Schizosaccharomyces pombe: one gene and its partner. The main gene of each other region encodes a partner of the protein of the gene in region 2 in a complex. Each region holds a gene or a part of one and is shown on either strand. Other genes may lie near its edges. The genes, in order: ssu72 and cft2.

What was found.
Region 1: cft2 (region 2) and ssu72 share a complex: the UniProt entries of both Schizosaccharomyces pombe proteins name them as parts of the cleavage and polyadenylation factor (CPF) complex.

The regions. Positions count from the first base shown.
Region 1 is NC_003424.3:3,175,748-3,178,953, forward strand, and holds ssu72 (RNA polymerase II CTD phosphatase Ssu72), read right to left. Parts: upstream 1,515-3,206; 5' UTR 1,384-1,514; coding exon 1,301-1,383; exon of another isoform or gene 1,252-1,300; coding exon 741-1,251; 3' UTR 680-740; downstream 1-679. Other genes in the region: spa2 (GTPase-activating protein), read right to left, coding at 31-159, 246-312. UniProt on the Schizosaccharomyces pombe protein: Processively dephosphorylates Ser-5 of the heptad repeats YSPTSPS in the C-terminal domain of the largest RNA polymerase II subunit (rpb1).
Region 2 is NC_003423.3:1,127,125-1,132,211, forward strand, and holds cft2 (mRNA processing protein Cft2), read right to left. Parts: upstream 3,350-5,087; 5' UTR 3,302-3,349; coding exon 2,929-3,301; exon of another isoform or gene 2,866-2,928; coding exon 845-2,865; 3' UTR 830-844; downstream 1-829. Other genes in the region: ngl1 (peptide N-glycanase), read left to right, coding at 1-82, 129-288, 334-372, 418-716; SPOM_SPBC1709.16C (aromatic ring-opening dioxygenase), read right to left, coding at 3,772-3,954, 4,028-4,336, 4,392-4,699, 4,855-4,948. UniProt on the Schizosaccharomyces pombe protein: RNA-binding component of the cleavage and polyadenylation factor (CPF) complex, which plays a key role in polyadenylation-dependent pre-mRNA 3'-end formation and cooperates with cleavage factors including the CFIA complex and NAB4/CFIB.

The DNA of each region.
Region 1 (3,206 bases), on a different chromosome or scaffold from region 2:
GTAGACTCATAAGAGTGTAAATCAAAATACCTTTGGGATCATTGTTGATCCTACGCTGTAGTTCATCAGCAACGTCTGTTAAAAGTTCACTGAACTGAATATGAGACAAACGCTGAAGCTTTTCACGTGGCCTCGCATTGGCGTTCCTTAGGGCTGGGTCTATAAAATAGCGTTAGAGGTGATTACATTGTTTCCGTGGGTCAAAGCAATTGTACAGCTTAATTTTAAACCAATTTTTAACATACCTTTAACAAATTCAGGCTCTAAGTAACGAGCTAAAAACCGATATTGACGAATAATAATACTTTGCATAGTTTGAAAGCAAATTTAAGACTAGGGATTTGAGGAAAGAAGTTGGAAAAAATGAGCTTTCTATCTTTTTCAGGGAATTAAATGATATGTCCTTTCTTTTACGCTGACTTGAAAAAGATAGACTGTGTAAATTAACTTAAGGCAGTTGTACTAATACAATGGGCAAGGACGTGCTGGACCCTAAATTAATTTGATATAATTTTTCTGTGAATTAAATTTTTAAAGAAAAAGTCTTTAAAATGCCTAATGTACTGCCAAACACATTAACAGGCAAACGAGTGCGAAGAGAAATCTTCTATCTAAAAATATTACTGACAGCTTTGCGTCCTTGCCAATTTACTGTGTTTATTACTTAGAACGTTGTAGATATACTAGGAGAAAGGACATGCTTTATTAAATTCGATAACGACGTGTAACGATAAATGATATTAAAAAAAATGAATAGTATACAATACAGGAAGTTTAGGATGGTTAGATTGAAAGTCGGCCATTATAGAAGGGAACAGCTCTTCCAATTTATCCTGTGCCTCGGTTAATTTGTTGACTAAATCGAGAATGGCCTTTCCACCTACGCTGGCCTCCTCATGGTTATCTTTAATGTCAACGTTTATTAAGTACACAGGTCGATTCAATGTTTCACCTCGACGATACAGATCCTCACAAATGGCATCATAACATCTTTCTTCGCAGGTTATTACAATGTTGTATATGGAATCTTGGTCCTGCCACCGACAAGGAGCGCGCTTTATACGGCGATTTCGGTCAAGCATTTTAAGCAATCCATTGGCCGTGTATAGCCGGGAATCCTGGGCCTCGAGCTCTTTATAAATTTCATCATATGGATACCCAAATTGATAAATGTTAGGTTTGTCAATACTGGGACCCGGCAACCGTACAGCTGAACCTGTTCCGAACGAATCAACTTGGTATCCAGCATTCCTTCAATGGAGATTAGCAAACTACCTCATAAAATTCAAAAATGACATACTTTAAGACGTTGTGAGCTTCCATACTTCGATTTTGGTTCGAAGCACAAATTACACTGATCTGGAGGTTGGTTTTGGGAGCCATTATTTGGTATTATTGTTTACTGACTAACGTTGGTAAGGCTTTAAAAGGTTTTACTTTCCTTTCTTTATTATTGCAAGATTTTTATCTTACTAAATTAGACATACAGCCAAAGGTCCAAACTCGTTCTTTGCAGTGTATACAATATGACACGCTGTAAGCAACAGCCTTTCAAAATTACCACGCTGCTTTACGATGCGATATATCGATATGTTGCATCACAAAAGCAGAGGCTCTTGAAATGAATCTCATCTTTGCAGAGTATAATTTCTACTTTAATTAATTATCTTAAATGTTTTATAAAAATAAAAATTCTCCACGTTGTATTCGTCTGATAGCAATTTTTCAAAGATAGGGTTTGAATAAATACGTCTATACTCCACTACCCATACTACATTAATGATTGTTAACTTTACAAAATTATGCCTAATTCAAAAACTCCTTATTATAATATTAATAATAAAACTACTCATCGCCAGCACTTTAAAAAGCCGTATAAAATTAGTGAGAAATCATTGTATTGTCAAACAAAATTTGCGGTTGGATCAATCAACAATTCTTGGCTGTTAATCTCAAAATGAATAAAGTTCAAACATACAAACTGGCGTATGAAGCATTAAGTTTTGAGCTGATCTACTTAGAGTAGTTTCGTACATACCATACTCTTTCATTTCATTTATCGCTTAAGATTTCCAAGTTTTGAGTATTATATAGGGTAGGTCTTCAATCTTTGTGACTGTTTCAATAAATTCGATTTAGTATATATTTTGCATAACTTAACCAATTTTAATTCAACGCGAAATGATGACTTTAGGCATTTGTCCAAAGGATACAACTTCAGTTATTGAATTAGTACCACTGTAGACAAAACCCTAGCTACCTTTTAATTTTGTCTGATCGTGTGTAAAACGTTTACGACAATAATGATTAGCTTAGTTGAAGATATCGCGGATACTGAAAAATATATGACCAGCCTAAATAAAATCGGTGTATGTAATTTTGTCTTGAAAAGCTATAAAGTTACTGTGTGGTTAATGCAGTTTTTCGTTAGTAGAAAATACAAAAATCAGGTTCACTCAGTAAGCTTCTTAAAGTGAAATATGACATTCAACAGTACTCATTAATTTTGCGAATCGAAACAGTTAGTGACTTGCCTTAAATATAGTCAGTAAATAAGAAAAAAAAAAGAAAATGTAAAGGCACATCATATTATGCAAAGAAGGACTACGTTGCTATAATGCATGCAAACCATATCCAATAAGTAAAAGACGTAGATGCTATTTCTATATCAAAAGAAACATATTCACATGTTTTATATACAAAGAATCCGTCAGAAAAACCATACGTGCTAACTGGCAAATCGGCTCTTCCCATAAGTAGACGATGATCTTGCAGCGTCACGGTATAATCCTAATCTAGTGATTTCGTTCCCCTTTTCTAAAGCTTTTCTCGTTCGCTGGACTTTACGCCAAACAGACTTCTCCTTTTTAATATACCATATGTTTCAGTTAACTGATCGCGCAATTCAGGCTTAATAAACGGTAAGCAGTCTATATTTCTTTTTCTCTTTCGCTTCAAAATAGAGCTTTAATTTAGTTATTGTGATCAAATAGTCTCAATTATTCGTCTGCTATGAAGAATGTCAAAGCTGTTACGGTTATCATAATTAAAACCACTAACACTGACAAAACTGTTATTTCTTTTGATCTCTTGAGCTAACTGAGTAGACTTAATCACAGCGCAATTTTCTTTGCTTTCGTGTCAAACGATTATGACAAACCATTGTGGAAACATTTTGTACATTAGCAGTTATTTATTCTGCGCTT
Region 2 (5,087 bases):
GCATAATCAGAGATTTCCCAGGTATAATCGCATTCGAGCATTGCTTGATTCAAGGAAGGGAAGATGTGGAGAGTGGGCCAACGTGAGTTAAAAATATTTATAAATATATAAAGCTAACATTTTCTTAGTGTTTCACTTTCCTATGCAGAGCACTTGGATCTAGAGCTAGGTGGATTTGGAATGCTGAGGACCATGTGTGGACGGAAGTCTATAGTAATAAACAGCAACGCTGGGTGCATGTCGATAGTGGTGAAGAATCATTCGATGAACCTTTGATATACGAACAAGGTAGAGTTCTAACTCCTTGAAAAACTTGATTTCTAACAGCATTAGGTTGGGGAAAGAAGATGTCATATTGTTTGGGTTTTGGGAGTACGGAAAAGGTTTTAATTTTATTTGTTACTAATGCAAAAATAGTCGATAGTGTTCGCGATGTATCGCATAGATATATTCGTCACCCTGAGAATGGTCTTCCTCGTGATCGATGCCCCGAATCTGTCCTACAACAGGCTTTGCATGAGATTAATATTGAGTTTCGGTCCCGACTAACTGATTCTGAACGTAAGGCTCTAGAGGAGGAAGACAAACGTGAAAAAGATGAACTTGATGGTTATATGCGTCCTGTTTCCCAGGCCACGCCCACTAACACTGACCTGCCAGCAAGACAAACGGGGAATGTTGAATGGAAAGAGAAAAGAGGGGAAGCAGGAAAATGATTGTTTCATAAAGCTTTACGTTCCGTTTCTATTACCAAACATTTATTAGTTATGTTGTACATGAATCCTTTCTAGTTACTAGCTTTTTTTTTATGTAATCCTAATTAAATTTTTTTTTCATACATTAGTTAAACGACAGCAAGTGCATCGTAAACCAACTTTCGAATTTCAAAAAAGCGGTTGCTCAAACTGCCCTCAACGGATATTTTACCACCACTGAGTTTTCTTACGGCAACAGCTCCCCCACATAATAAAACACCTTCTCCTTTCAATTCAGCAGAAATTCCTTGATCTAAAAGTGCTTTACGGAGATAGGCAAGCCGAATATTACCTACCAAAAGTGGAGCAGCCCTGGGCGCTCTTGCCAAGTCTGATCTTAAAGTCAAGGCGTTAAGAACAGGAAGTGTCTCTTTCTCTTCTTTTTTCTCTTCATTCCTTTCTTTATCACCGTCCTTTTTCTCAACTTCTTCCTTTTTATCTTCTTCTTCAGAAGGTTTAGAGATCTCAACCTTAGCCAGCATATGTGAAACTTCGCAATTGCCAACTTTAGTCCAAATTAAATTTTTAATAAGATCATCTGCTAATTTAAGACTGAATGCATTAACATCGATACTAACATTAATGATTTCACCATAGTTGGGTATGTAAACGTCCTTGGTAAAAGCACTGAGAGAGGCGCACGTTTTCTTCATATCTTCTTTCTCTTCAGTTGAAGCATGAATAAGGACAAGTCTTCTAGGATTTACCTGTGGTATAATAGTTTTCAAAGAACGTCCATCATGCAGACCCTCAATATCTATGAACTGAACTTGACATGAAACTCGGATAGTTTTTTCATCTGTTATAATTTTAGAAGGAACTTCATCCTCATCCTCTTCTTCCTTTTTTTGTTGTAGACCATCGTTTATTTCGGACCATTTTCTTTTTCCGTTAGAATTAGATAAAGCATTATCATCTGAATCATTTTCCAATTCCAATGTGTTAGCAGGTTCGTTAATCATAGAAAAGTCTTGATGTTTGATAATTTCTCCATATTCATCTATCCTCCTTCTCTTCTCAATGTATGGAAACATTTTATACTTGGTATGTAAAGCTTGGACAGCAGGATCTCTCAAGTTCAAATCAAAAGACTTTCCCATTAGGAAAGCAGAAGATCCAAGAGCCACATGGGGAACTTCTGTATTCAAATCTAAGTCGTCATCTTCTGAAGAAGATGATGATGAAAGGTCTTCATCTAATATGGTTCTGTTACGAAATTCCAAAGCGGTATCTTCCGCATCTTTATTTCTCTTGCTGAACTCAAGTTCTTGATACGATCGCAATTCTTCCCCCTCCAAAGGTTCTTTCGTTTTTATCTTGACAGCTTGTTCAGCATACAAACCGACTGGATGAGGAATATCACGTTTCTTTTTACTAGCACGTTCCCAATACCTGATGAATTGGTTTGCAAGTGAGTTTTGAGGGCATCTGGATCTTTGTGTAAACAGTATTAAGTCATTTGAATTTTCAGACATCAAATCTAACAAAATTCGCTGAGAGAATCCGCATTCCAAAGTCAACGCGGTAGCGAGGATCACTTTGGGTCCGGGTCCTATGTGAGAAATCTGAGAAAAATCTGTAATCGTATTTATATTTCGAAACTCTAATAAGTTTTCGTTGATCCCAAAATCACGAACTATATTATCACCCATCCATTCAATCATACTTTTAGCATAGTCAATAGTTTTTGTTGATGTAGGGGAAAGGAATAATATAGGAAATGGTAGAGGCGGTTGACTAGCAGACCAATGGTTATCTAGAATACAACACAATTCTAATACCCTAGAAGCGGCATCTACAGGTAATAAAACAGTACCGCCCTTCAACAAAGAAGACATAACAGACTCTATGAAAGCTTCGTCACGCTTTTTACGGGAAGGGATAGATACGAGTGAATTGTTAGCATCAGTAATTAAAGTATTTGGTCGATTGAGAGCTTCTAATATATGGCCATTCGAATATAAGGCAGCGCCGTTTAGATGTTTATCTTTAGAATGGTTCCAGTCAACAGCGTACAGAACGCTTTCTGATTCTTTTATAAGACTCCACAAAGTTCCTCCCAAGGTATGTCCAGCATTATAAGCAGTAATGGTTAGCCCACTACATTTTCCTAAATCATGAATTAGTATAATCAAAAGTTCAAAAGACTTTTTTCACAAGAACAATTGCTTACCTAAAAGTAATGTGGGTTGTTGATATCTAAGAGGAATGATGCTGTCAAAAACAGCATCTACATCAGCTTTGCTCATGTCTGAAATATAGTTGGATTTTATTGCATCCAACATAGTCATCCGACCCATATTAATTGTTGGTAAAGTAGCATATATATACGCATTTTTCCAGTCATATTTATAATAAGCATAAACCAATCCTCCTATATGTGCTAAATCCGAATGAGATAAAAGGATTAAATCTGGTTGTTCGGGTACTTCCGGATGTTTTAATGAATCATCGCTGCCAGGGTCTATATAGATATGAATTCCATCTAACTCAATATGAGATGTTCCACAATAGGAGTCTGTCTCTAAACATTGATAGTTGAGCATGGTTATTGCCCAAAGACAGGACTTTACAACTCGATGGTAGTAAACAGTGGGGGTTGGATGGCTATCAGAAAGAATATATCCAAGCGATACTATAATATGAAAACTTGTCAATCTTCTAAATTGACCAGTTTTAATGTCTTTATTATAACTAAATCTTTAGTTAATCTAAATCATTCAACGAGCATATTGGATAAATCGGCTTCGTAATTTTTATATATTAACAAAGACGGATGTTTATTAAATACGGTTTCTTGGTAACATCATTAATTAAAAATATACCATGTAAGGAGTTGAGTTATAAGTGACTGGTATAGATTATCAATTGGCGATTTATTCAAAATGCGCTAATTTTAGGAAATGGTTCATCAAATCGAAAATTGTCCTGAAAGCATTAAGTGAATTATCAAAATAATTTTTAGCTTTTAAATTATCACTCTGTAATAACAAATAACTGTAAATTAGACATTGATTCATTCATCGATTCCAAAAAAAGCAGAGACGGCGCCATAGAGGTCGCAAACGACCTTAGATTTCCCAGAGCTTCCTAGGCCCGCAGCGACATATAATGGAACAAAGTGTTCCTCGCGTGGGTGTGCTTTTCGAAAATAAGGGTGTAGCTGTAATCCTAATAATTTATTCAGACGATCATTTTGCTATAGGTTCGAAATTAGTACAAGAAGTTCAAAATATTGTGCACTCATCCTCAACGACAAGTAACATACATACCTTATCAGTCTCAATAGCTTTTAGAATATCCAGTTGGAATTCTTTATATCCATCAGCTGCCGTATCTTCATTGAATGCAGAGAGGTCTTCGAAAGTATGAATGTTGAGTCCTCCGCTAACTATCAAATACTCCTTCCGCAAACTTTGCAATGCTTGTCCTACTTTATATAGCTGCATGGGATCTAGGGTATGCATGCTCACCTCTATTAATGGGATATTAAGTCCATCGGGAAACATGATTTTGAATGGCACAAAAACACCATGGTCCAATCCACGATCACCTGAAACAGTTTTTGCTGGAATTTGGTACTATTGGGTTAGCATCAATAATCTATGAAACAGAAAAGATTCTGCGTTGGCATACTTCTTTAAGGGCAGAAATTATTTGATCGGCTATCCGCTTGGAGCCTTTGGAATGAAACTTGATCTGGTATAAATAATCTGGAAATCCGTAATAGTCATAAAAAAGTGGGTTTTCATCGTCTCTCGAATATACTTCAACTGATCCACGAGACTCATAGTGTGCAGAAAAGACGATTATTCCCTTCGGTCTAAACTTTTCCAATAGAAAGGGTCCTAACTGTTCTAAAAACTGATAATGTAACCCTCCAAGCTTAGAATCATTACTGAAAACCTCATCATCCGATGATTGTGGTAACATCAAAAATGGAGCTAAACAATTTTTAGTTATTCTAGTATCAATAAAGTGTTTATGTATCGAGTTATATGAAATTGAGAGATAGTTTGATGAAGTCAGTCAGCAAATTCCATTAACTCAGCATATTATGCGTCTGCTATATAAATTTCTGTTGATTCAATATACTTACATCCATGCGCTAAATACAGAGCTGGAATAAGCCTTTCTAGTTGAGGAACAGACCTCATACGAGACATCCAGTCTAATAGTCGAGAACTCGCCATAGTCCCGTTAAATTCAATTTCAAAATAGCCTAAATCGTTTGACTCCACTGGCTTTTGGGTGGTGTTACTAACGCTGTTGTTTTTCCAGTAGGCGAGTATGCACACTGCCAAACCCGTCAAGAGGTATTTCAACCTTAAA